Linked DNA regions of Oryzias latipes. The protein of the gene in region 1 purifies or fractionates together with the protein of each later gene. This does not show direct contact. Links are inferred from orthologs where the notes say so. Each region holds a gene or a part of one and is shown in the gene's direction. Other genes may lie near its edges.

Region 1 (4,120 bases):
TATGTCATTTTTAGCCAAAATCAAAAACCTGTGTCGTTTTCTAGGACATATGTTCTGCACATCGGCAGCAGCTCATGAGAAATTCATCTGGGTTGTTGGCGGGATTCTAGGCACGGAGTAAGCCCGCCCCCACTTCCCGTCACCAATCTGTTTACACTAGCCTACAGCCCCTCACAAGCCCAACCTAACATAAGTGGTGCAACTAAAACGGCGAGCTATCCAGCCGTACAGTTTTGAGCCAAATACCAGCTGGGATGAGGAAAACAGAGACGGACATGGATCTGTCTGCAAGTGAACGGAGCGGAGCAGGAACTGCAGTTTGAACGTGTGTGTGTGTGTGTGTGTGTGTGTGTGTGTCAGAGTCTCTGAATTCATCTTCACGTCCTTCCAAAATAAGGGGTAATTTAAAGGCAACACCCACCTGTATCTTTATTCATTAACTCATTGTAGTAGGCGAAGAAGGCTCTGAACTCAGCTGGTCTATGAGACAGGACTTTGAAGACATTGGGCAAAAAACCTCCCTGTGAGAAGCAAAACATAGAAAGAAAGATGTACATTTTCACAGTGTAAACCTTAATTTAAACGTCGAATTCGTTATTTGTGAGCGTTTACCTTTGCCTCAACCTCTTCCATAAGCTCCACTATGTCATAAGGGAGGTTTTTTCTGTAGGGAATCGGGTAACGACTTATTTTCTCCGGTGGACCGCCGCTGGAGGATTGTCTGGTCGCCGCTGATCCGCCAGATCTCCCCTGGAGTAAGAGGCTTGACGCGGGCGGAGCCTTAGTGGACACCGAAGGAATCAGCAACAAGCACGACTCAACAAACACCACACAAGACTTTTCAACTACTCACAGCTTGAGTTAGTAAGGACGACCGAAACAACAACTTGGAGACGAGTTTGCCTGCCATGTCACTCCACATCAATGCAGACCGCTTTTTTGTGGTTGGTTTACGCTTTTTAGTCGCCTCAAATACTCCAGGGCTTTCCTAAAATTATTTACTTTAAAAAATAAAAATCTCACACATTACTATCTACAGATATTATAATTCGAAAAAGCTACAGTTGAATGCCGTCCAAACATGAGCCTTGTTTGGGGTGATTTCCCGTCGCGTGTGGCCACACAGACGCTATTTAGCTTTGTGTTTGTCAGATCTTAAATCGGTTGAAATCATCCAATGAATAAGCTCCGCTGAGTGACGCCTGTTCTTTAGTACGCCCTGTTGCGTCGGCTCCTCCTCGCCAGTAGGGGGCAGCAGTCATGAGTGCTGAACATGGTCTGAGGTAACCTTTCTTAAAAATACAAATTCAAAGTTATAACCACACATTTGATTTTCACGATATACATTTTACATTCTGTGGGTTTTATATATTAACAATACAAGGGTGCCATTTCTTCTCTTTTAAAACAATGAAAGGGCAACTATCTCATGTGACCCGGAAGAGATCGTTTTGACACACCGATGCCTTCATGCTAGCTGTTTTAGCATAAGGGAAACACAATTTGGACAAAACAGTGCAAAACAATCAAAGAAAGAATCTACATCTATATACAACAATATGTTTTATCATGTAAGTACTTGAACTTTTCCACCCCTTATGAGAGTATTAATAGATATGAAGGGAGGTTTTCGTCTTCGGTTTTTGCGCGATAATGAGGCGGCTTCACACAACTTTTTTCAAATCCCTTTTACCAAATATATCAGCGAAGTTTTATCTTCCATTGTTTGGATCGGCTTGTAACAGCAATGTTATTTGGAAAGTTTTTCCTCTTAAGTTAGCACGATCATAACCACGCCATGATCATGATGTGTTTACAGATTTCTTTGGAACATGAAATCTTACTACATCCACGGTATTTTGGTCCAAATCTGCTCAACACAGTGAAACAGAAACTCTTCACGGAAGTGGAAGGTACCTGCACTGGCAAGTGAGTAACAGCTAATCATAAATAAGTGCATAAGTGTGATTACTTTGTAAGTTTCTAGTCTGTCCTGAAAATAACAAGCATTTGCATTCACTTTTCTGTAATGCTGGTTTGTATAAAAAAGCTTAGAACTGCATCCCTACAGTATTTCCTGCTTGTGTCCCTTCTCCCAGGTATGGTTTTGTCATTGCTGTCACTACTATTGACAACATTGGGGCAGGTGTGATCCAGCCAGGTAGAGGTTTTGTACTCTATCCAGTCAAGTACAAGGCCATTGTGTTCCGCCCATTCAAAGGAGAAGTGGTGGATGCTGTGGTCACGCAGGTTAACAAGGTAAGGACCCATAAGTACCTGTTGTAGGCCTTTCTAAGATGTTTGCCATGGAATAGATCCTTTTGTTGAACGCTTGTTTTTCACATGGAAAACGTAGATTCATGAATTGTTTTTCTGAATTCCAGTCTCTTTAAATACATTTTCTATCCTCCTTTAACAAAATTTGGGTTCTTTGCAGGTTGGCTTGTTCACAGAAATTGGTCCCATGTCCTGCTTCATTTCTCGCCATGTAAGTTTATGTAACATTTAACACTTTACTATATATATATCTTGACCTAATATGTAGGTATGTTTTTATATTATTGTTTGTGTATTTTATTGTTTTTTTATTCTCCCAGTCGATCCCTTCAGAAATGGAATTTGATCCCAACTCCAATCCACCTTGCTATAAAACAGTTGACGAGGTATGTGTCATTACTCTGTCTGTTTTATGCAATAGTAGATTTAGCATGCAGAGACATTGAAGGCTACTTTTCTCTTTCAGTTTTTAATCCTTGTGATACATTTGATTTTAATGAACATTTCTTATTGTGTTTATTAGGACATTGTAATCCAGCAAGATGATGAGATTCGACTGAAGATTGTGGGAACACGAGTGGACAAGAATGACATTGTAAGTTTTTTCCATAAATATTATTTTTGATCTTTTGACCAGTAGCGACACAGATCCATTAACATCTTCATTTTCCTTGACTGAGCTGCCAGGACTGGATAGCTCCAAAAATTCCTCGCACTATTGTCATCTTGGGGCTGTAAGCTAGTGGGAAAGAGTGTAGACGGAGGATTGATACGAAATTAGCGCAGGATTACTTTGCACCAATAGTCCCGCTGACAACTCAGAGGTGAATCTCTGATGAAGGTTCCTACCATTCGGCAGAAACTATGTCCCAGAGAACATCACAGTTTTTTGTTGTTTTTTTTGGCCAAAAGCAGCACAATCCTAATGAAAAGACCACTGGGAACAATTTAACAATAGATCAAAAGATGATTGGATTGGGACTTTAGGTCCATATGGATTCTTGTAATGTTCCTTTCTTTGACTTTCTGGTGTTTTTTCAAACCATTTAAAAGAAGAACAACAAGCTTAGTTTGAATACAGCAGGATCTGGTTTGACAGTTAGTCAAAAGCCTGATTACAATAAAAGCAACCTCACTAAAACATCTGCTTGTCGAAATACCCATGTAAAGAATTGTGCAAAACTATTCATTGAAACAAGTTTCCTCTTTGTTTTCTAGTTTGCCATCGGATCTCTGATGGATGATTATTTGGGTGAGTATTAAATGTCAAGTCAGAATTATTTTTTTTTTTTTTTCAATCAAACAACAACATAACTAGACGATGATGATCTTTATATAAAAAGAACACATACTTTAGAATCTAAAATATGTTTGGTTACTATTTTAAATTAAAATTTATTTTCATTCGTGTTGTATTATTTTTCTTAACTGTCATCAAATTCATTCAGTGCCAGCATTTGGAAATTCTAATATTCAAACATACGTACAACATTTTATACACTGAAGTTTAGGATTTAGTTTTACATGAAGGACCTTCTTAAAATGATCTTCAACTTCCTTTATCTCACAAAATAGATAACTTATTAATTCTTCCAAATATTCAGTGATTCTTTACCATAAACAGTACATTTTCAACGCAATTGATACCTCACAGTATACAATTGTCATTTGTTTTAGTACAGTTTTCAATGCAGTATTATGATTTAATGGTAACATTTGGTCAATAATATTTTCATATTTTTAAATCACAGTGATTATTATTTGAAAAGGTATTACTCAGAAAGTAAATCTGTCAGATTTCAGTTTGTAAATTGCATATAAATGGCATTAATAAGCAATAAAA
Region 2 (4,221 bases), on another chromosome or scaffold:
GAGGTTTTCAGACCTCATTACTTTTTAACGCTACACAAACGATTATTATAGTCATTTATAACTAGGATTTAAAAAAAGAGAGGATTATTATCGCTCGTAAACAAATACAGAGCCTTATGCTAACAACAAACCTTAAGGTAGTTCCTGAAGTGAAACTATTTCATATCACGTAAATCGAAAGCACTGACGAAAATTAACATGAACGTGTTTCAGACAGCAAAAAAAAATACAACAAAAAAAGAAAACATTTGTTTTAAAAAATAGAAAAACAAAGACTTGCCATAGTTAGTAGTAGTAGTAGTACCTGCTAAGAAGTCCACCGTCACGCGGTAATGTCTGTACACAAACTTGGCCTGTTAACTCCATTCACTTCCTCGAAACATACTATTAATTTAAGCGCCTGATGAAGGACGCAATCAACAAACTTGGTGAGCAGGAAGGCTTGCATACGTTTCCAAATTTCACCTGATCATCGCATGTTGATGCAGTCACTTTCTACTTCTTACTCAATTTTGGTGGTTTCGTTTGTTGACAGCAAAGATCCCTGGGGCTCTACCGCTCCCTAACGGCCAGTTTGTGAACAACTTATTGTCATGATCTTTGCTTTAAGTTTCATGGTTATCGTGGTCATATCATAGGCAGTTTAAACGACTTGTTCAAATAAATACATATGGTTTTAATAAAGCAATTTTAAAGTTAAAGAGCAAAATTTTTCATTTCCTGGGGAAACTTAAAAAAATGCCACAACTGACACTGCCACAGAATTTGCGACTCAATGGTAATTGACACACAAAAAGAAAACAATTGTTGCACAGTATTTTCCTCACTATATTGGTTCAATGCTCATCATCAGTACATTCGTATGGAAGATTTCTGTAGTATATTTTAAAATGAAAGTCAATACCAGAAATGCTTTTTCAATTTTTAAAATGAAGCTGCATTTGTAATAATTTATAATAAAAAAAAAAACAATCCGACCAAACCACTTTTTCTTTTTCTTCTTCTTCAACACAGCTCATTCTGTCACTTAATTAAAATGAGAAAGAAAATGGTATTCGACATTTTTTACTAAATGTGTAGCATAATGTAATTAGAAATATCTTCTTTGATCATCAAAGTTTATTAACAGAAATGCTTTTTCATTTTGAAAATGTAACTGCATCAAGTGAATTAAAAAATAAAATTACAAACGAATGAGCCAATCTGCTTTTCTTTTTCTTCTTCAACACCGCTTATTCTGTGGCATAATTAAAGCGAAAATGCAAAGATGGGATTGCATTTTTGTTTTCACATCCACCGTGCGAAAGGTGTAATAATTCATCACCAGTTCATTCCATTGTGGCTCTTTTTCAGACCACTGTCACCCTGACTTCCATTTCCTCTTTTGATCAGTAGGTGGCAGTAATGAGCCTGACCGTAAATCATCTACCGGAGAAGAAGAAGTAGCGTCATCACACCGATGCGTATGGCATTACAAGCTAGCGTCTGTGGTTAAAGATACTTAAGATCTTTATCACACCGCATTTTTCAGAGAAAATGCCTCGCTATGCCCAGTTGGTGATGGGCCCGGCTGGTAGCGGAAAGGTATGTTTTCAAAAATGCCACTGGATGGTCTACAGCCTCTTGTCTGTTGTTGCTAACAGTACATGAGGTGGTGTCAGTCACCCAGCGTGTTTTTATTTTGTTATTGTGTTTTGCCATTAATTGTATCTTTTTAAAATATTATTATTAATATTTCAGAGTACGTACTGCTCCACCATGACCCAGCATGCAGAGGCTTTGAACCGCTCAGTTCAGGTGGTCAACCTGGATCCAGCAGCAGAACACTTTAATTACCCTGTTATGGCAGGTTAGTATGCTCAAAATGAACCGTTTGTGTCTCCAAATATGAAAACAAAAAAATTAAAAAACGATCATGTTGTCATGGTAATCCATCTATGACAGCAGGATGTCCTTTCTGACGTTGGTAAATCCTTGTTAAAGTCTTGAGATCTGTTGAACCTAATTTACTTTTGTTTAAAAAAAAAGTATTTTATTGAATCTTTAAGTTTATATAATAATAATAACAATATTAATAATAATAATAGTGGATTGGATCTTTCTGCGCTTTTCCAGACGCTTAAAGTGCTTATTATGTGTCCATTATTCATTCACTCCTAAGTCATATTATGGATACACCTCAGTATTGAGAGATAGAATGTTACAAATTAAAGACTTCATTTGTAAAGTGAAGTAGAAAATAAGTATTTGGTCAATATCAAAAGTTCATCTCAATTCTTTTGATAGAGGTCAGACATTTTCATTGGGTCTTCTCTTTTGGTCCATTTCTCCATGTAGATCTCCTCAAGAGCTTTGACGTTACTGAGCATCACAGACTTTCATCTCCCTCCACAGATTCTCTATTGGATTGAGGTCCACAGTCTAGCTAGACCACTCCAGAGCCTTAAAATGGTTCATATTTTGCCACTTTTGTGTTGCCTAGGCCAGTGTTTTTCAACATTTTTTGAGCCACGGCACACTTTAACCTTGACAAAGACACAGCGGCACACCAGCATCCAAAAAAAAACTCAGTCTGTATTGATCGACAGCCCCCCCCCCCCGCAATCTCACGTGCATTTTTGTGATAATTGGGGCAGAAAAAACAGGAAGTTGCAGCTGTTTTTTCTAAAAGATGAAATAAAAGTTAAGTTAGAAAATTCAAAAACTGTTTCATGTGTGTTTGTTGTGGTTTCAAGACATTTAACAAGGACGACTCATTGTACGCTAAGACGCTGTCCCTTTAACCCAGTGCATCGTGGGAGATGTAGTGTGAAAACTGCCGCAAAAGGGCAGAAGCTTCAATGTTTTGTTCACTTGTTCCACGGTCTGACACCGGATTCTGTGGAAAGCTACACCGCTAAAGACGACCTTTGGCTGGTATTTTTGTTAGAACCGAGAGACTTTATGAGCTAAATCGGGACAAGGAAGTGAAGACTTTAACCACTTCTGATTGGTCAGACTGATGACATGTGATTAAACCTTCAAGAATGATTGGCGGAGACAGTTAAAGGGGCGGGACTTTTCCTAAAACAGCTAAAGCTGCAGCCAAATCGCGGTACCGTCATTCTTATCAAAATGTCTTTAATAGAATCAAATAAACACAAAGAAAAAATAATTTTGTGATCTTTTATATTCCTAACTACTCAGTGTTTTATCAGGGCCTGTTTGGATGAACACAGAGCTGATTTCCTGGAGATGGGAAATGTTTTTAGATCAGTTAATGAGGGCAATTTCCCACGGCACACTGGACCATCTCCCACGGCACACTAGTGTGCCGCGGCACACTGGTTGAAAAACACTGCTCTAGGCAATGTGTTTGAGATTTTTGTCATGCTGGAAGATCCAGGCACATTTCATCCTCAGTACTCCCACTGAAAGAAGAAGTTTTCTTTTGCCCAAAATCTCTCCATTCATCCTTTTCGTAACAAGGATCAGTTGTAATGTCCAGTGAGCAGAAACACAGGCCCAATTCATGATGTTTCCACCCCCATGCTTCACAGTAGGTAATGTGTTCCTGGGATGTGAATTGGCGATCTTTCGCCGCAAAAAACTGCAAGTGGCGTTGATGCCAAAGAGTTCCATTTTTGTGTAGTTCTGGGCGGTTTCCTCATCGTTCTCAAGATCATATAGCAAACAGGTGACGTTAACACAGGAAACATGGAAGAATTTCTTAAAGAAGTAACAGGTCTGTGAGGGACAGACATCCTGGTCGTTTGTAGGAGATAAATACTTCTGTGGTACTTTTTGCACCACTGAATAAATAAATGATTTCAAAATCCTAAAATACAATTTCTTGGATTCTTTTTTTTTTTATTGTCTCTCTCACGGTTGAAGTGTATCTAGCTATGATGAACTTTAGAGACCTCTACCATTTTTAAGTAGGACAGCTTGCAGAATCGGTGGCTGACAAATACTTTTATCGCCCGTCGTTGAAATTAGAAGCAAAAGTAGATGATTAGTGAAAAGTGAGATCCTGCGAAGGTTGTTTTTTTAAGTCCGTTTCCAGGAATTAATGCCTTGTGTTTTTTTTTTTTGTGCTTTCAGACATCCGGGAGCTCATCCAGGTGGACGATGTCATGGAGGATGACTCTCTCAGGTTCGGCCCCAACGGAGGCCTGGTGTTCTGCATGGAGTACTTTGCTAACAACTTCGACTGGCTGGAGGAAAGCTTAGGTCACGTGG
Region 3 (3,500 bases), on another chromosome or scaffold:
ACATCCATGTGGTTCCTCTGATGGAAAAGAGCAGCAGTTCATGTTTTCTCTTGTGGTTTAGGTTAAGTCTGAGTTCTGTAAACTGTTGCTGGCCCCCATTAGGTACAGAGAAGGTCCGACAGGGGCAGGGCTACAAGCACCTTCATGTGGTCAACCCCGACTGGCTGTGGAGCTGTCTGGAGCGCTGGGAGAGGGTGGATGAGCAGCTGTACCCTCTGAAGGACGACTACTCAAAGACGCCCAGGTATGCAAGTCCTTCGCTGATCACCCTTTAACTCCTGACTGTTCAAAGATGCATGAACGTTTTCGTCTCCCCCCACTGTCCCTGAAGGAGCAACAGCCCAGCAGCGTTTGCTGAAAGTCAGGGCTCCACACAGAAGCCGGCCTTCCAACCCACCCCCATCCAGCCCAGACCCCCACCGCCAGCCCCAGAGTCCCGGACGTATGACCCCGTAACAGGAAAGCTCATCCGCAGAGGCCCCAACGTTCAGCGCCCTCCATCCTACTTGCACCCATCAAGTTCTGAACCCCGAGATCAGCCCAGCCTCAGGTACTGACGCACAACAGCAGCTGCTGACTCAGCATCTGAACGAACCAGTTCAAAGGAAAAGAGAAGAACCATAGAAGTCTCTGCTAAACGTTGAGGACTCCTTCTTTGGTTTGTCCATGTGTCCGTTTCAAAGAAACATGTCAGAGCCTGAGGAGGCTAGGTGGTGCCCTGTGACACGATGGAGGACCAAACCCTACATTTCAACACTTTCCTGACGCCTTAGTTACTCACACCTGTGCAGGTGCTGCAGGTTTTTGGGCTGTCCGGCCCACGGAGGGTCATAGAGAGGAGCGGCTGCATGTTAAAGGGAGCGCAGGTGTCTTTTAGTACCCTTTAGGCTACCTACAGGGACATCATGAATACGCAACTGCCCATAGGATGTCCACACAAACTACACTCTGATAGTCTAACCTGCTCATTTCTAACAATCAGGATGCATGTAAGGATCACACACTTATCTCTTGAAGAGTCCTAATGCAGGATTGGGGGAGGTAAAAAATGAAAAATGCCAATGACATGCCTGCATCTCACCTACCTCACCCCTCCTCACCCTCACGGGTTGTTTAAGTGTTCACTAGAACCTGTAGCTTTCAGCATGCCTGTAGAAAATAATGTTTGCGATTATTTTAGCTCAATGAGCGATCTACGCCTTTGACATTTTGTGCAAGTCACCCGCGTGTGCCGTACAAGTCAGACCCCCCCCCCACAAAGAGCCTGTATCCACCTGTAAGGGCAGCTGTTCTTCTTAGGCCCAACAAGCGGCTGTGAAAGGAAATATTTCCTCTGCAATGTGGAGCTTATGAAGCCAGACCAGAGGGGCTCATTGCACCGGCAGGTCGGTGTTCCACAGACATGACTATAGTGTGAATGGCGGTGGACCCCACAATGACATTCAACTATATTTAAAGATCCTCCTCCCTCTCTGAATGCTGTGAAGACTGAAGAAGGAGAAGTTTGTGGGGAGAAGAGCTATTTTGCGTGGGGTCTCCTCTTGGGATAACATCCTGAACTGCTCCGTACAGACAGGGCAGTCTCATCACATTACGATGGCGGACGGATGTAATCAATCAGAGTTGGCTTTCAGTCAATCGGAAGCCCTTCATGGAGCTTTTGCTCCTTCATTATTATCTTCAGTTTAATGAAGCCCCAGTTCAAAACCAAATGCATCAAGCTGAGCTAAATCTGGACACATATTAGCCTTCTTAGAAAAAGGCTCTGTTCTGCTCAGTATATTGATGAGAGCTTCTACCTTCTTAGCTGGAGTAGATGTCGACCATGCGAGCCTCCTTTCCATCCTCGGTTTCTCTTTAAACAGAGGTTTGTGGATACTGTTGCCCCCGGGGGGCATGAGCAGGAGCTCCAGAGGAGCGCTGAGGGACAACAGCGATGGTTTTCCCGTGGCTGCTCTGCAGCTCTCTGACTCATCACTTCAGCTCCGAAAACCAAGCATGAGACTAAAACTCCCCTTCAAACGAAAAGGTCTGTGATGATGTGCTGTAATTAAAAATCTCAAGTGGAAAATCGGCCCATTCTATTCCCGGATCGGAGGAGCAGAGGAGTTTTCCGGGAGTCGCGTCCAACGATCAAAGAAGATCTGTTCAATTAAGCAGAGCTTGCTGATATGTCTGCTGGGCCCTTGAGCCTGAGCATTGTGTGTAGCCCCCCCCCCCCCCCCCCCCCCCCACACACACACACGTTGTTTTTCAAAGGAATTCTTCCCAGCATTCCTGCAGGGATTGAGTGTTTCTGTTTACCTCCCCAACCAACCTGCTCGTCCTGACTGGGGTTTCTGCTTCTACCTCAGGGCGGCTGCACCCACTCCGCTAAAGGAGGCAGCGGGATGCGTTCAGGACGGCGAGCAGGCGGGGCCATCGCGGCGCAGACGGCAGCCCAGCATGTCAGAAACCATGCCCCTGTACACGCTCTGCAAGGAAGACCTGGAGAGCATGGACAGAGAGGTAAGACGGCCAGAGGCTGGAAGGTCATGATCTGAACACGGTGGAGGCTTTGACAGCTGTAAACACGCACTAAAGGACGGTAAGACACGGCCGAGCGTCCACTCCTCCAGAGTCCAGTGAACTCTCTCAGCACGGTTCCATCCACAGCCTCATCACCTGTAAATAATGACAGGAAGTCTGATTAACCTTTCAAATGATATCACACCTCAGTAACGATTGACACCCAGAGTGTCTCCACTTTCTGAGCAGCATTTGAATTTCTCTAGAGGGAAAACTAAACTGCTGAAGCCATTTCCTCTCCTCCTCCTTCATGTTTTCCACGTGTTCAGGTGACTTCACCTGGAGGCAGATTTTAAACACATTTAATTACAGAAACACAACTTCCACTGATAAATAAATACTCTCCAAAATATGGATATTATTCAAGTATTTAGATACATCCAAGCTGCCTGTCTAACCTGCCAAAGGGATCTTTTTATGTTTAAGGTATAAATTTAACTTTTTACAGCTTAATTTTCTCTGTTTGTGGTGTAAATGTATCTTTTTCCTTCAAATTTTGAATGTCTGAGGTGTAAATTGATCTTTTATTTGTATGTTTTTGCGTGTTTGTGGTGTGAATCTGTCATTTTCATCTATATTTTTGCTTGTTTGTGGTGTTAGTTGTTCTTTTTTCTTTCTATGTTTTTGGAAAAATGACAAAATCTGGTTTAAAGTACACTACTCATCTTTAACTGTGCGAAAAATCCTATTAGTTGCCAAAATGTGACCATATTTTTTCATTTTAGTTTCGCTTTAGTCTTCTTTCGTGTTTGCTGAAGGATTTTTAGTGCGTTCTTAAAAAAATCATCCTTCAAAGAAAGGAAACTCGTGTGGAGTCAAGCTCTCAGAGGAATCTTTCCTAGAAATATTCGGACCTCAGAGGCGGTTTTCCCAAATCCAGCTGTGCTCAAAGTTCAAGGAGAGTGAAGTCTTTCAGCAAAGAACAGGAGCTT
Region 4 (3,978 bases), on another chromosome or scaffold:
TAATTGTCTTTTTTTTTTTGAGGGAAACAGAGCCTTCAGCTTTCAGGCTCATCTTTTGTGGCACCAACTCCCCAGTTCAATTCTGGAGGCAGACACCATCTTTATCTTCAATGCAACTAAAGCCTTCCTCTGATAAAGGAAAAAGTTCTCTTTGACCTGGATGACCTTAACCCTTGTGCTATCATAGGCACTTTGACATTGGGAGTGGGGTCATCTGGACCCCACAAGACAGTGCGCTGAACGTTTTTTCTTAAATGATTTGTAATCTTCACTGGTGTCCAAGGATAACATGAAATCCTCTTCGCCTTTATCTACCTTTGTCCTGGTAGGGATAACACGTCAATGCTAGGGTGGGGTCATTTGGACCCCATAAGATAGCACAAGGGCCTCACTTTATACTTTTCTTATTTCTGCTTTGTTTTTTTTTAAGAATGCATTTAATACATTTACAGTTCCTAACTGGAATGTCTTTGTCATGTGGTTGCAGTGTTTGCCCCTGTGTTGTCTACATGTCTTCCTGTCCTCTAATCCAAACCACTAAGTGTAAACGGTCGCTCTCATTTGTTCCACTTAAATTGTTACATTTTCACTTCACAATTGTCTGTTTGCGTCCTCATAAAGGATTGCGACACATACTCTTTGATGTAATCTGTTGGTCACTTATTGAAAAAAAAAAACTAGAGTTAGCCAATTTGACCCGAATGAAATATTATGGATTAAATTGGATTATAAAACCATTTTAAATAATGTAGTTGGAGAAAAAAATAAATAAATTATTTTGTGGGCACCACTGGTGCTGTGACGTGCTTCATGCAATCAATGACGAGTCATGGTATTTGTCACAGTAATCTGAGTAAAAGATAACTTCAATAAAATGGTTAAGTAAGACATATGGTTACTATTTCCTCTAAAACACTTAAAATGATATGTGATTGAATCTTTTGTCATTTTCCCACAAAACTGGAGATTGTAATTACTTGATTCATTGTTTCTTGCTCTCCTAGATTTTTCACCTTGCGATAATATCGGTTGGAAATTTAGTTTTTTTGTACAACTGAAATTGAATTTACTGTATTGGGAAATTCTCCTCATGATCGTTTTTGGTAGTCGTGACCACCTTTGGCCAGCAGAGGGCAGCAAATTACATGTGTTATTCCAACGGCCAACGAGCTGCAGTACAGTGATCTGTACAGTAGAGGGAGAAAGAGCGTCACAGCAGACGTTGAATTTCCGCAGAAGAAGAAGAAGGTCCCACTTTGAAATGTTGTCATGAGTGGAACTCAAAGAAGGTTTCACGTAGAGCGGATTGTTTTATTAGTAAATTGTTTCTAGTGTTTTTGTCGTATAGTTTTAAAGTCAAATTTTAATCTACAGTTCGTTGTGTGGGAATGGCTGCAGTTGGAAGCGGGTAGCCATCAGTAATGTCGTGGACCGATCAGCGTCAGGGGAAGGTTGGAGACCTGAGGAACCAGAGCAGAGAAGAACTGCAGGAGCTGCTGCTGCGACAGGAAAAAATCCTCTCCAATAAGTGAGTCTGGCCTTTTATTAGACGACAAAAGAGACATTTTCCTGTAGTTTTTTTTTATTTGTTTAATGACCATAGTATATTAGCAGTTAAAAATAGTTACAACACATTCGGTTCCATCATGTTAACGTTATACCAACTGTTAAGAAATTAAAAGTAAAACCTGCACATTTTAAAATGCCCACTTTGGGCTTTAACCGAATGTTTTATATTCCAGATGCTACATGTTCGTTTATATTGTTTATTCTTAGTCATCTTTTAACTTTTAATAACAAAAAGTTACTCCCAAAGACAAATGTTTTGCTCGAAAAATGTCCCTTTTCAACAGTGAATGTAATCATAGCAAGAGGATTATGTTAGAGTCCCCCTCTGATCATCTGGATCCAGTCTCCTACAAGTGGATGCATCATGGCGTGGAGGAGGAGGGGGCTTGTGGCCTGCCGACTGTAGCTTCTACATCACAACAAGATTTTTTTCATGTATATGTCCTCTATCCTGAGAAAAATGCCACAAGAACACGTTAAAAACCGAATTTTCATTGCAGTGGGCCTCGAGGTTGCATCAAAATAGCTAGGAATGTATCATAAACCATATCAACTGATGCTTATTGTGTTGTGTATAAATCACAGATTAAGTTGTTGTTTGTTTTAGAAAAAGAGGCAGAGATGTGATAAATGCCATGTGACATAACTGCTCGATGAGTTCTTTACAAGATGATTGTTTGTTGTTTTTTAGGAGGTTATTACAGACTCTTCCAGACAAAGGGAAAAAAATTCAAGATTTTGCAGACAACGTGCGTCTCGCCATTGAACAGCGCATCGAAGAGGAGAGGAGGCGAGATTTACTGTCTGCTACAAGGAGCGATTTACAATCCAAGTACCAGCAAGCTTTCAGTTCGCAACAACGTGGAGTCACCTCATCAGCACCTTCATACCAAAATGAGGAAGGAGAGGACTCACGAGGAACGGAAAGCACACCTGATTTAGCACCAACGAAGAAAGATGCCACTTTAGAAAAACAAATGGACACATCTGCTGCCGAACCCTCTGTTAAATCTGAAGAGATAAAAGAAAGTGAGCTAGTGGAAGCCCTGGACAGGGTCCAGGTATCCGAGTCCAATACTGGAAAGTCCAAAGAAGCCTTTAACAGCAAAGCAACAACCAATTACTTTCTCCAAAAGCAAACACCAAAGAAGCCTCACTATATTGCTGTCCTGAATAGAGGAGAGTCCTCTTTACATGCCATCAGGCAAAAATTCAAACCAAATCAGTAAGTTACTTTATTTCTTTCAAAACTTTGATATATTATTTGCATTTATGTCTGTTTTATTAGGGATAAACATCTGGATTCCTTGAAAATCAAAATGTTTTAACCCTCTTTTCAGGCTGCTCAACAGAAGTGACGTTTCAACGTCAGGATCCTCGTCACCAGGTGAGCCCTCTGGAGATGCATCGCCGCTGTCCGCTCAGGCCAGGAGGGAGCAGGACAAGAAACACCTGGATGATGTCACTGCGGCCAAACTCCCTCCTCTTCATCACAATCCTGCCCAACTCCTGACCCTTGAAGAGTCCGCTGCCTTACTTGTAGAACACACCAGAAAGCAGCAGGTTAGTGTGACTGAAACCTCTCACACACATCAATATGACTCGCCATTTAAAATGGCTGTGAAGTGTTGAGAGGGCTTCATCACTGATGTCTATCATTTTGGGCTTGTTGTGGACCACTCAGAAGATTTTCTAACAATGCACAGTTGCTACTGTGGAGGTTTTCATATATGTGCAGGACTGATGGTAATATAGGTGTCATTATTTGCCCACAGGGGCATTTTCATAAATTCTTTTTTATTATTTTGTTAAAATGGTCTCAAAACAAAATGTTATTATCTGCCATTGCACAAAAGCACACATTGACAAATGTTATGCAGGTTTGAATAAAAAACTGAAAATAAAAGTGAATAAATTGGTTCAAAGTAAAATAAAAATCTTAGTGAAATGTGTTTTTAATGAATCACTGACTACATCATTTGATGTTTGTTTCATTTTGGTTTTTCATAGTTGTCATTTTCCCTTAAGAACTCCAGAGGGCAGTATTCAGACACTGACTTTACATGCAGACCAATACCTGTAAATGCAAGAGTCAAATCATCTTATTATTATTAGTCATATTTCAGTGTTTATTGCTCTCTTTATGCACTTTTTCCTATTGTTTTTTTTCTTCAAATCTTGTGTATGATTGTAGGAGTTGCAGGCCAAGCTGGCAGCCCAGAAACTGTCTGAGGGACTAAAAATGTCGGTGGGGGGCTACAACCCTGACGGCGGCTCCATGGGCGCCTACAGAGAGGTGCACGATGAAGAAGCACAGCTTTCCTCAGAGGAGGACTGATCCTGGAGGACCAGCTGAGGAAACCGTTGGCCCTTTGGCTCAAAGATGCTTTGGACCTCACTATGTGGAGC
Region 5 (3,500 bases), on another chromosome or scaffold:
CAGAAAGAGAGACAAGAAGGAGAAACCACATTCAAGCAGCAGAGAGCGGCCCGCAGCGCAGAGCGCCAAAAGGAGCAGGGAGAGGAGGGACGGCAACCGAGACCGCCACCACGACCGGGAGCGTCGCTGCGATGGCCGCCCTGTGGTTCCGCCCTCCATCCAGGACCTCAACGGGGCCGACCTCTTTGCCATCAAACGAACCATCACGGTCACCACCACCACCACCACGGTGCCCGGCTCCCCCAGACACGCCCCCCCATCCCCCTGCCGCATCGCAGAGGTTGCCGATCCCCACAAGAGGAAGAAGAGAAAGTGGCGCTCGTCTGTGGATGTGGAGGATCACCGAAGGAGTCGCAGCTGCTCGCCGCCACTCTCGCCGCCAAGATACCATGGCTACGGCTCAGACCGCTACTCCGACAAACTAGAGATCGACGTTTTGTCTTTGGACGGGGAAGCTCTAGACTCGGACTACCCGTCTTTAGAGGACACGCCTCCTGCTGCTCTGCCTCCAGAACCTCATATTCCCAGCCCCAAACCCAAGTCGGCCCCCAAGACTGGACAGAACCGCTCCAAAAAGAAGTCCCGCATCCTGAAGAAGTCTGAATCCTCCTCCAGTAGAACCACCGGCAAATGTCTGTCCTCGCTGACGGTCACTTCGGGCTCCGCCTCCGCCTCGCCAGCCCTCCCCTCAGTGAAGCGACCCAGAAAACTCGGGAAGGAAAAGGGGCGGGACAACAGCAGGAAGGACCCGAGTCGGCCGGGGAAATCCAAGAAGGAGACAGGCGGCAGTCGGAAGGGCAAGCTTCAGTCCAAGGTGTCCGTGCTGGTCCGGGAGGGGGTGAGCAGCACCACGGGGGCCGGAGTTGGCTCCGGGAAGCTGAGCATGGACCTTCTTGGTCCTGGAGGGGCAGGAGGCGGAGCTGGAGGCTCAGTGGTGGGAGGATCCATTGCTGTGGTCTTCTGCAGGGACAATGAAAGCAGATCGCCCTTCCTCAAGCCCTGCTCCGAGCCGCTGTCGCTGGGGGGCCGCAGTAAGGACCTGACCGGCTTGGCCAAGCGAAGCGGTTTGGCTGGACCACCATCGTCCTTAACCGGCCCCGCGGGGCTTAAACCCAAAAAGACCAAACCCAGCTCCATTACATCCACCTCCTCCTCAGCGTCCTCCCCCTCATCCTCTCTGGCAACCAAGCGCCGCCGCCGCCTCGCCAAAAAGGTAAAAGAGAAAAGCGGAGCCATTGGCTCGACTGCAGAGGACGGTAGCCAATCAAAACCTCCGCCTGAAGGCTGGGGCGGAGCCTCCTTTGATGGTCAGTCTGTCGCTAAAGAGAGCGGGAGTAAGACGGTCAGCCCTCACACTGGCCATACCGGGCCGGCGCCCTCCTCCTCCTCCTCCACGTCCTCATCCACCAGCGTGCTCCCGCCCTCCTCCTCCCCCCCACACAGTCCTCCTTCATCTGCCGCTCCTCTGAGGGACACCCGGGAGTCGTCGCCCGACTCTCAGACCGTGGACAGTAGCTGCAAGACCCCAGAACCGTCCTTCTTGGGGGAGGACGGTCCAGCCCGGAGCAGCCCCACACCGGCCCCTGCCAGTCCCTCCAGCCTGTCCACGCCGCAGGGCGCCGGCATCACCAATGTCTTGACCACACCCACCGCAAAGCACCAACCTCCAGATGACACCCCGAAGTCTGTGGCGTCTCCTCCTTCCTCGTCTTCGTCAGCAGGCGGGGGCCTCAACTCTCTCTCTCTGCCCCTGTCTTCGTCTGATCCCTCCTCCTCGTCTTCGGTGTCGTCCTCCTCTGCCAGCAAACCTCCTCCTCCTCCACCCCCGCCTCCCCTGACGGCATCCAGCCTCCCCTGGAGCCTGCAGACCGGGGTGGACTGCACGACGGGGGGGGTCCTGGCATGTAAGTCCTCTGGTAACCAGCAGCTCTGCCTTCATAGAAACATGTGGGGGGGCTGCATAAATACCCCCTGTAGGGGTAGGTTTAAAAACTGAGACTGAATTTCACTTAGAAGCATTGATTGAAGTATTGTTTATTCCTGTATTTCAGGAAAAAATACTTTTAAATAGAAGAATTTATCATTTAATGATGAAAATTCCAAGTTTTTCTTTTTTTATCAGTGTAAAGAGTTTGGGACCGTTCTTCCAAATGTACTCGGTCCTGATCCGATGACTCGTGACTCGGTCGTCCAGGCAGATTTAGCTGATGTTATCTCACATTACCCAGAAAGCTCAGCACGGATGGACCGCCGTGAAAAGCAGTGACGTTTAAAGAAATCCCCGTCAGAGTGGTTGAAGGCAGGAGTCGCCTGTTTGGAAGAACATCAAAGCTGAAAAACTCTGAGGTTAGGTCTGAAAAGGAACCGGGGAGGATCAGGCAGCTGACACGGTCATGATGGAGGCGGAGCTTAGCGTCTGCGGGAAAGCCTGGCCTCTATTTAAAAAAAACAAAAAAGATCTCAGCTGCAGGTTGTTGTGCTGATGTTTCATCTGCTCCCCCCTCAGTGACCGCCCTCCTCTTCAAAATGGAAGAAGCCAACCTGGCCAGCAGAGCAAAGGCTCAGGAGTTCATCCAGGCCACCAGCCAGGTGAGTTGGGAGGCCCACCTGCCTCTTCTCCTCTTCCTCCTCTCTGAGGCAGAGCGCAAACTAACAAACATGTCCCCCTGCAGATCCTCTCACAGGCCAATCAGAGCCAGGCACAGCAGCTTGCTCCTCCCCCCTCTGCACAAATCCCTCCCCCTCCTGGTCTAAGCCCCACCCAGTTCATTCTCCACAGCTCTCGTCCTTTGGCTGGATGCACCAAGACGCCACCCCCTCATCTCCACGCCTCCATAACAGCCGGGTGTGCGCAGACCCCCCCCTCTATCATGCCTGGAGGGCTGTTGGGGGTGACGGGGGGCTCCAGTGATGCAGCATGGGAAAATGAGTCCAAAGACCCTGACAAGGTGAGACGAGTCGTAGCAGAAGCTACATTTCTTTCTTTCTCTCTTTAAGGTTTCAAACTGATATTAGTGGGAGAAGTGCACGCCGCCTACACGTTCACAGCTGCAACATTTGCTGGACCTTGTGGAAACAACAATCCACCCTTTTCATTGGATCTCAAAGCATTTGATCACCACAAACCTAATAGATACAACCGCAGCACAGTAGTGTGTTGGTGAGCGACGGCGTCCCCGCCGCTTCCACAAGCTCACCCCGTTATTCAGCCATGGAATGATTACGGGTCTCAGTCCACAAAGTGAGTCTGCAGGAGCGTCAGCCACCCCCGTCTTCACTGCCCCCTTCCTGGCTGAGCAACGGCTACCCCCTCCCCCTGGCTCGCAATGACACTCGAGGAGTTAGGACACGATGGATCAAAATTTCCTAGGAAGAGTTTTAGACTTTTTAAATTCAAGATGGCGACCTTTTCCTGAGGTCAAAGATCAACAAAACTCCGGTTGTGGTTATACGCTTCGTCCAAATTCCTTCCCTACTCTCTACAAAGTGCACTATGATGC
Region 6 (4,007 bases), on another chromosome or scaffold:
GTTGCAAGTTCTACGTCACTGCTACAAGCTTTTTCAAATCCTAACTGTACTCTTTGTTAAGAACACCCAGAAACAATCAGCCACCTATTTTGGAACTGTAATATTACAAAAAAGTTTTGGAAAGAATGTACTTGTTTTATAAATCACAAATTTGACTCACAATTTCAGATGAAATTTGAATGAATCATATTTGGCCTACATAAAAAGAACATAAAATCAAACATAAAATTGAAAATTAATCCAATCATAATATAAAGTAAGTTAGACATCAACAAATCAAAATTTCACAACTTTTCCCCCCTGTATTTATTAAAGAATTAGAATCGTATTTATGTACTATTTCTAATAGCACAAACAAAAAAGGGAATACGTATTTATGAAAATTCTCTGTCTTTGAACATATTCAATGTATTGTGATGTGTTTTACAATATTTCTATTGTAATATATGCCATCCCCTGGCAGTCCCGTTTTTATGACTATTGTTCTTGTCATACATACTTGTTCTATGTGTTGTGAACAGTAATGCATTAAAAAAAACATTTTTTGGGGCAGAAATGCAGTTTTAAGATTAATTTTCTATATATGTCATCATATCATATCATGAGAAAAATGCCATTAGAACATATTAAAAACACCAAAAACGTGATTTCCATTAAAGTGGGTCTTTAACTTGTTTTTATTGGTTAAATGTTTTAGTAATGCTAGCTTAAAAATAAATGAAAGAAGCTTAAGAAAAAAAACAATGTAAAGAGAAAAAAAGACACTGAAGCACACACTCAGGTTTGAACAGTTCCCCAACCCAAATTTAACCATGACTAGTTTACCCCGACCTTAACTAAGCTCATTTACACATCAACCCTTTGGCCCGCGAGGGGCCAAAGCCTGCCCCTCATGGTCGATCAGGTGTCTGAAGGTCTCTGTGGGGTCAACATAAACCTGAAAAGCTGAAACACAACAACACACAACGTGTGTATTCATCATGAACACACGAATGAAGACTAAGAAGATCACCCAACTTCAACTTTCTAGTAGACCTGTCAAATGTGTAAACGGCAACAACATTGCAGGCAATGTAGTCTGATGATTTATTCGCTTTGGGTCTGAAATGTAAAAGAAAGGGACAGGTTTATTTTTTTCACCAAAGGTGACACAATATTTTTGACTTTATTTATTTATTTATTTTTAAACTTATTTGGCCTTCTTGACTTCCCGTAGTTGGTCACGTGATCAGAATAGTCTATAAGTACAAGTGCTGCATCCGTCCGGGAGAAGAGAGCGGAGGAAGATGGCTTCGACAAGTCGGTGAGTTGCAATGGCTGCTAACCGTTCAAAGCCCGGTTTTCTTTGTTAATGTGACTCAAAGTGTCTCGTGGTAAAAAACCACCGCGTCTTGTGATTGACCGTGGGACTCTGGCGGTAGAAAGTGTCGGGCTCCATTTTTCTTCTCGGGAATGTTCAGTCTTTTGTACTCCGTCCGTGACAGCCAGCTAGCTCGCGGGCAGCTTCACGGAAGAGGCTGCCCGTTAGAACTCCCGGTTTTGTCGTTTCTCTGACATCTGAACGTTGGCCTGAAGGAGTTCTGGATCAGCCTGAAACTCCGTGGAAACGCGCACGTCCGCACATTTACCGGGACTTAAACTCGTTAATATTTCTTTATGCTAGGAAAGTTGAAGCGATCGTGAAATGGGTATTTCCCATAATTCAACGCGTTTTGTTTTGGTGGGTAGATGACACAAGCAACTACAGAACCAGGCGACTGATAAATACTGGAAACATAGGCTGTTTGTAGACTTAATAAATATTTGTTAATCCTATCAAGGTGTCTGGCTTCTTCCTTGGAGAATGTAGCGGAACATCGACTTTAAGGGATTTTCTTTGTTCGTCATTTATTTGTTGTTTTTGTGCTCCTTTTTAACATTTTTGTTATCATTTGTGTTTTGCTTGTGCAGCGGAGATGCTCTCAGTTTACCCAGAGTGACATGTCCCAACCATCCTGATGCCATCCTGGTGGAGGACTACCGCGCTGGGGACATGATTTGCCCCGAGTGTGGGCTTGTTGTAGGTGAGTACTTCAATGATAAACCTGTACTTGGCCTACATTTGTTGGAGGTAAAATGGGTCCATAGCTGGAGAGGTTTGTCTTGATGCTGAAGCTGTAAAGAGTTCTGTGTGACCTGGCCTCCACAGTCAGACCTTCACATGCGCTTTGAACAAACCTAAAAGCTTTTTTTTCCCTGCTACCGTAATTTCCGGATTATAAACCGCCACTTTTGTCACACGCTTTCAACCCTGCGGTTTATTCAATGATGCGGCTGATTTATGCATTTTTTCTAACGGCTGCTAGGGGCGCTCGAGCAGAAAAGGAAAGAGTGAGACGGGGGATAAGGTATATGTGTCGAGGAAGACACAAGTTTAATGTAAATTCCCGCTTTCTGAATGAATAGCACGAACAGACCCTCATCATGGAAAATGCAAGAAGAAATGCATATGAGGCAGCTTTCAAGTTAAAAGCAATGGTTAACAGCAGTGTGAAAAAATCCACCATCACCAACGGGTTTGGAAAAGCCGGTCTGCTGCGTGACAGAGAGGACAGTGCAGACTCAGGAGAGAATTTACCTCAGGATGAGAGTGACACTGACAGCGACAACGAAGGAGAGACACAGAGCGTGTGTGGTGAAGAATATCTGACGCTTTTCCAATCCGACACTGAGGAGGAAGACTTCCATGGTTTCAGTGCACAGGAAGTTCGTGCTGCGCAGAGGCGAGCGCCAATAAGTTACTGCTGCTCTCAGTGACTTCTACCACGATGTTTTTTTTAACCAGCCCTGTTAGTGCTGTTACTACCGTATTGCTGCCGTGTTACTGCCGTGTCACAGGCACTGTTTGGAATAGAGCTGTGACGGTGTGGGATTTTTGATCACCGCGGTGATGAAGAAGCAGGAGAAGTCACGGTGTCGCGGTTTCCAAATAAATACCGGTATAAGTAATAATTACAACGCATTATTCTTTAACAAATAACAGTAACAACTAAATCTACCTAATGAACTAACTACATAGGTGTTGTAGAATGAGTATGTGTTTGTGTCAGCACACTGGGTGTGTAGGGGGAAGGAGCGTGAGTGAATGAGAATGCTCCCTCTTCCTATCCCGCTGCACGAGCTCCCCCCTCTTTCTCACACACGCCGGCGAGCGGTTTCAGCACGTACACATCCATTCTACAACACATGGTTCAATGTGGGCACATGCGGGCGGCTTAGACAGGTGCGGCTTATGTATGTACAAAATGGTTTATCCTTTAAAAATGTAATGGGTGTGGCTTATAATCAGGTGCGCTCTATAGTCCGGAAATTATGGTAATTATGTCACCTGTAAAGGAAGTCCATTTTATTCTCATCACGGATCTATTTTCAGCCATTTTTCCTCCAAAGAAAGATCAAAGCTCCAGGACTTTGATCTGGAACGACCACAGTTTTCATTTTCTTTATCTGATTGTCTTATTTTAATGTTGATGATGAATCTGCATCATTTACACACAACAGTACAAAGCAGTACGTCTGCAGTGTGTGCACAGATCAGTGTAGCACAATTTATCCCTCAGAAACGTCAAAGAAGAACCAAAAGCACATCAACAAATATCCACCAGAACCGTCAAAGTACGGTTTAAACAGAAAAACGAGATTGTTGCTCAAATCAATTACAAGTAATTCAGCGTGTAATCAAAGTTTCCACTCAGCCTTTCTAACATCACGGTTCTGGTTCTTCACGCCTTCTGTCCTTAGGTGACCGGGTCATTGATGTGGGTTCAGAGTGGAGAACCTTCTCCAACGAGAAAGCTCAGAAAGATCCATCCAGAGTGGGAGACGCCCAGAACCCTCTGCTCAACGGAGGAGATCTAACTACCATGATCGGCAAGGTGGGACAGCAGACCTGTGGTTAGCTGTAGATAGGGGTCCAACAGATCACGGATGATTCCTACGGATCTCTAGCCACGGTTCAGCACACATGT
Region 7 (3,500 bases), on another chromosome or scaffold:
TAGAAAGGACTGAGGAAGGTAGACAGGAGTACAAGGAAGCGCAGCGTAAAGTGAAGAGAGAGGTGGCAAAGGCCAAACAGAAAGCTTACGATGAGCTATATGACAGGTTAGACACAAAGGAAGGAGAGAAGGACTTGTACAGGCTGGCCAGACAGAGAGACAGAGATGGGAAGGACGTGCAACAGATAAGGGTGATTAAGGACAGAGATGGAAAGGTGCTAACAACCCAAGAGAGTGTACAGAAAAGATGGAAGGAGTATTTTGAGGAGCTGATGAACGAGGAAAATGACAGGGAAAGAAGGGAGGAAGATGTGGTTGTTGTGGAGCAGGAAGTAGCAGAGATTGGAAAGGATGAGGTTAGGAAGGCTCTGAAAAGGATGAAGAGCGGAAAGGCCGTTGGTCCTGATGACGTACCTGTGGAGGTATGGAAGTGCCTAGGAGAGACAGCAGTGGAATTTCTAACAAGGTTGTTCAATAGGATTTTAGAGAGTGAGAAGATGCCTGAGGAATGGAGGAGAAGCGTTCTGGTCCCAATCTTTAAGAACAAGGGTGACACGCAGAACTGCAGCAACTATAGAGGAATAAAGTTGATGAGCCACACAATGAAGCTGTGGGAAAGAGTAGTGGAAGCCAGGCTTAGGAAGAAGGTGGAGATTTGTGAGCAGCAGTATGGTTTCATGCCCCGTAAGAGCACCACTGATGCCATTTTTGCTTTGAGAATGTTGATGGAAAAGTACAGAGAAGGTCAGAAGGAGCTGCATTGTGTGTTCGTAGATTTAGAGAAGGCGTATGACAGGGTGCCGAGGGAGGAGCTGTGGTACTGTATGAGGTCGTCTGGAGTGGCAGAGAAATATGTTAGAGTAGTTCAGGACATGTATGAGAGAAGTATGACGGTGGTGAGATGTGCTGTAGGTCAGACAGAGGAGTTCAAGGTGGAGGTGGGACTACACCAAGGATCAGCTTTGAGTCCTTTTTTGTTTGCTATGCTGATGGACAGGCTGACAGACGAGGTAAGACAGGAATCTCCCTGGACAATGATGTTTGCGGATGACATTGTAATTTGCAGTGAGAGTAGAGAGCAGGTGGAGGAACAGCTAGAGAGGTGGAGGTTTGCTCTGGAAAGAAGAGGTATGAAGGTCAGTCGTAGTAAGACAGAATACATGTGTCTGAACGAGAGGGATCAAGGTAGAAGTGTTAGGTTACAGGGGGCTGAGGTGAAGAAGGTGCAGGAGTTTAAGTACTTGGGGTCAACAGTTCAGTGTGATGGGGATTGTGGAAAAGAGGTGAAGAGGCGAGTGCAGGCAGGTTGGAGCGGTTGGAGGAAAGTGTCAGGAGTGTTGTGTGACAGAAGAGTGCCAGCAAGACTCAAAGGAAAGGTGTACAAGACAGTGGTGAGACCAGCTCTGCTCTATGGGTTAGAGACGGTAGCAGTGAGACAGAGACAAGAGGCTGAGATGGAGGTAGCGGAGATGAAGATGTTGAGGTTCTCCTTAGGAGTGACCAGGTTAGACAGGATAAGGAACGAGTACATCAGAGGGACGGCTCATGTTGCCTGTGTTAGCGACAAAGTCAGAGAAGCCAGACTGAGATGGTTTGGACATGTTCAGAGGAGGGATAGTGGATATATTGGTAGAAGGATGTTGGAGATGGAGCTGCCTGGCAGGAGGGCAAGAGGACGGCCAAAGAGGAGATACATGGATGTCTTAACAGAGGACATGAAGTTGGCTAATGTTAGGGTAGAAGATGTCCATGATAGAGTGAGGTGGAAAAGGATGATTCGCTGTGGCGACCCCTGATGGGAAAAGCCGAAAGAGAAAGAAGAAGAAGAGTATATTTGTAAGAAATTAGGTTATCTAGTAAGAAAACGAAAACACCATTATGATCCTCATAGTTAGTAGTAGAAAAAATCACGTACCTCTCTCAGGAGCGCCGAATATGTTGAAACTGACTTTATGTCCAGTAGGAAGAAAAATAGTCGTCATTTCCGTTGTGCTGAGGAGGTTAATATTGATATGCTGCGGCTAATGCCGTCGCGCTGTGGTTAATGCCGTTGTGCTTCGGGTAATGCCGTTGTGCTTCGGGGAATGCCGTTGTGCTTCGGGTAATGCCGTTGTGCTTCGGGTAATGCCGTTGTGCTTCGGGGAATGCCGTTGTGCTTCGGGTAATGCCGTTGTGCTTCGGGTAATGCCGTTGTGCTTCGGGTAATGCCGTTGTGCTTCGGGGAACGCCGTTGTGCTTCGGGTAATGTCGTTGCGTTGTCTTTTTTGTATGTAGTGTGAGCTCTGTCGGCCACCGTAGGTTTATATTATTAAAGCTTTTCACAAATGCTCATAGTTTCTTTGGTTACATAAAGAACAGACGCTTTAAATATTTCTCCCTTAGAAAGCAACGTGTCATTTTAAAATGTCATTACTTTTAGCTGAGCCTAAACAAAACAAACTGCTGACCTAAGATTTCAGTAGATGCTCTTCTTTGTATGTAAATATACTGACATTTTTTAGAGGTGATAAATTGGGAAATTACTTTTGACTATTTTTTAGTTGCATTCTACAGCAATAAAATATTTGTTATAACTAAGGGTTTAAGCCTTTGTTTAAAGAAGGTATATAGTGATACTACCTGACTATTAACTGCCTAAAAAAATACAACTCAACCTTTTTATGAAAGTAATCAGGTTATGTTGTCCTTTATAAGATATATAATCAAAGTTTTGTATTTTTTAATCTGTTTTTTTTTTTAGGAAAAAAATAAATCCAATGTGTAAAGGAAAAACAGGTCAGTCATTATAGGCTTAACTGTATTCTGTTTCTGTCTTTTAGAGGCAGAAAAGCAGAGTCGAACGGTTGCTCTGTTAGAGAGACTTCATGCTAAACACAATGCTTCCCGACCATGGCAGGAAACATGCAAAGTTGTGCGTCAGGCTATGGTAAGACAGATATTCTATTATTTTCCAATTTTCCCACAATATTATACATACTATAAAAATATTTCTAGATTACTGCACATGCTCAGAGTGCAGTAAAAGTTCATTTACAGCCTGTTAGTGTTCTTAGTTAAGTATGTAATAACAAGCACAAAACAGCTTAAAGAAGTTATTTCTTTACTGACCTCCCTTGGTGACATTTAAATGTCAGACCAAGAGTGCTGGCTACGCAAATTAAAAGCAAGCCCGATTTGGTTGTATAAAGCATAATCATTAATTTCAACATTTTATTCTTTTTTTTCCTCTCCTTACTCGTGTTGTGCCTCAGGAGAAACGCGGTGTGATGAATGCGGCAGGTCACCAGCTCCTGCTTAACTGTTTGGAGACCCTGCAGAGAGCACTAAAAGGTGAGGGTCCCGTCCCACAGTGCAAAAAGAAAAAGAATGAATAGCTAACGTCGCAATTCTTTCATAATGATTGTTTTGTCTCTTAATCGGTAAAGCCGTGAAGGCTTCAGACAATTACTTTTTCACTTCAGCTTTATATTTTCCTCCAATTATTTAACTTACGGGTGAAA

What was found.
Region 2: the proteins of polr2g (region 1) and gpn3 purify together in Homo sapiens (affinity purification with mass spectrometry; 3 studies listed by BioGRID and IntAct, counting the BioPlex papers as one, with this or other methods). This does not show direct contact. The link is inferred for Oryzias latipes from reciprocal best matches to the Homo sapiens genes POLR2G and GPN3.
Region 3: the proteins of polr2g (region 1) and ctdp1 purify together in Homo sapiens (affinity purification with mass spectrometry; 4 studies listed by BioGRID and IntAct, counting the BioPlex papers as one, with this or other methods). This does not show direct contact. The link is inferred for Oryzias latipes from reciprocal best matches to the Homo sapiens genes POLR2G and CTDP1.
Region 4: the proteins of polr2g (region 1) and polr2m purify together in Homo sapiens (affinity purification with mass spectrometry; 4 studies listed by BioGRID and IntAct, counting the BioPlex papers as one, with this or other methods). This does not show direct contact. The link is inferred for Oryzias latipes from reciprocal best matches to the Homo sapiens genes POLR2G and POLR2M.
Region 5: the proteins of polr2g (region 1) and scaf1 purify together in Homo sapiens (affinity purification with mass spectrometry; 3 studies listed by BioGRID and IntAct, counting the BioPlex papers as one, with this or other methods). This does not show direct contact. The link is inferred for Oryzias latipes from reciprocal best matches to the Homo sapiens genes POLR2G and SCAF1.
Region 6: the proteins of polr2g (region 1) and gtf2b purify together in Homo sapiens (affinity purification with mass spectrometry; 3 studies listed by BioGRID and IntAct, with this or other methods). This does not show direct contact. The link is inferred for Oryzias latipes from reciprocal best matches to the Homo sapiens genes POLR2G and GTF2B.
Region 7: the proteins of polr2g (region 1) and med1 purify together in Homo sapiens (affinity purification with mass spectrometry; 3 studies listed by BioGRID and IntAct, with this or other methods). This does not show direct contact. The link is inferred for Oryzias latipes from reciprocal best matches to the Homo sapiens genes POLR2G and MED1.

What each region holds. Positions count from the first base shown.
Region 1 is NC_019868.2:13,737,590-13,741,709, reverse strand, and holds the start of polr2g (DNA-directed RNA polymerase II subunit RPB7), read left to right. Parts: upstream 1-1,320; 5' UTR 1,321-1,559; coding exon 1,560-1,571; intron 1,572-1,819; coding exon 1,820-1,929; intron 1,930-2,099; coding exon 2,100-2,259; intron 2,260-2,437; coding exon 2,438-2,488; intron 2,489-2,597; coding exon 2,598-2,663; intron 2,664-2,800; coding exon 2,801-2,872; intron 2,873-3,495; coding exon 3,496-3,529; intron 3,530-4,120. Other genes in the region: uncharacterized protein LOC101155778, read right to left, coding at 422-521, 613-780, 854-922. UniProt on the Homo sapiens protein: Core component of RNA polymerase II (Pol II), a DNA-dependent RNA polymerase which synthesizes mRNA precursors and many functional non-coding RNAs using the four ribonucleoside triphosphates as substrates.
Region 2 is NC_019870.2:16,801,177-16,805,397, reverse strand, and holds the start of gpn3 (GPN-loop GTPase 3), read left to right. Parts: upstream 1-1,421; 5' UTR 1,422-1,536; coding exon 1,537-1,584; intron 1,585-1,740; coding exon 1,741-1,849; intron 1,850-4,083; coding exon 4,084-4,221. UniProt on the Homo sapiens protein: Small GTPase required for proper localization of RNA polymerase II (RNAPII). May act at an RNAP assembly step prior to nuclear import.
Region 3 is NC_019869.2:25,078,931-25,082,430, forward strand, and holds part of ctdp1 (RNA polymerase II subunit A C-terminal domain phosphatase), read left to right. Parts: intron 1-102; coding exon 103-244; intron 245-331; coding exon 332-550; intron 551-2,354; coding exon 2,355-2,508; intron 2,509-3,500. UniProt on the Homo sapiens protein: Processively dephosphorylates 'Ser-2' and 'Ser-5' of the heptad repeats YSPTSPS in the C-terminal domain of the largest RNA polymerase II subunit. This promotes the activity of RNA polymerase II.
Region 4 is NC_019861.2:21,379,036-21,383,013, reverse strand, and holds the start of polr2m (protein GRINL1A), read left to right. Parts: upstream 1-1,178; 5' UTR 1,179-1,289; intron 1,290-1,374; 5' UTR 1,375-1,421; coding exon 1,422-1,528; intron 1,529-2,260; coding exon 2,261-2,794; intron 2,795-2,909; coding exon 2,910-3,132; intron 3,133-3,763; coding exon 3,764-3,907; 3' UTR 3,908-3,978.
Region 5 is NC_019866.2:24,770,106-24,773,605, forward strand, and holds part of scaf1 (splicing factor, arginine/serine-rich 19), read left to right. Parts: coding exon 1-1,904; intron 1,905-2,506; coding exon 2,507-2,589; intron 2,590-2,672; coding exon 2,673-2,948; intron 2,949-3,500.
Region 6 is NC_019875.2:5,825,962-5,829,968, reverse strand, and holds the start of gtf2b (transcription initiation factor IIB), read left to right. Parts: upstream 1-1,207; 5' UTR 1,208-1,286; coding exon 1,287-1,303; intron 1,304-1,950; coding exon 1,951-2,063; intron 2,064-3,780; coding exon 3,781-3,914; intron 3,915-4,007. UniProt on the Homo sapiens protein: General transcription factor that plays a role in transcription initiation by RNA polymerase II (Pol II). Involved in the pre-initiation complex (PIC) formation and Pol II recruitment at promoter DNA.
Region 7 is NC_019877.2:9,657,436-9,660,935, reverse strand, and holds part of med1 (mediator of RNA polymerase II transcription subunit 1), read left to right. Parts: intron 1-1,915; exon of another isoform or gene 1,916-2,084; intron 2,085-2,819; coding exon 2,820-2,926; intron 2,927-3,251; coding exon 3,252-3,330; intron 3,331-3,500. UniProt on the Homo sapiens protein: Component of the Mediator complex, a coactivator involved in the regulated transcription of nearly all RNA polymerase II-dependent genes.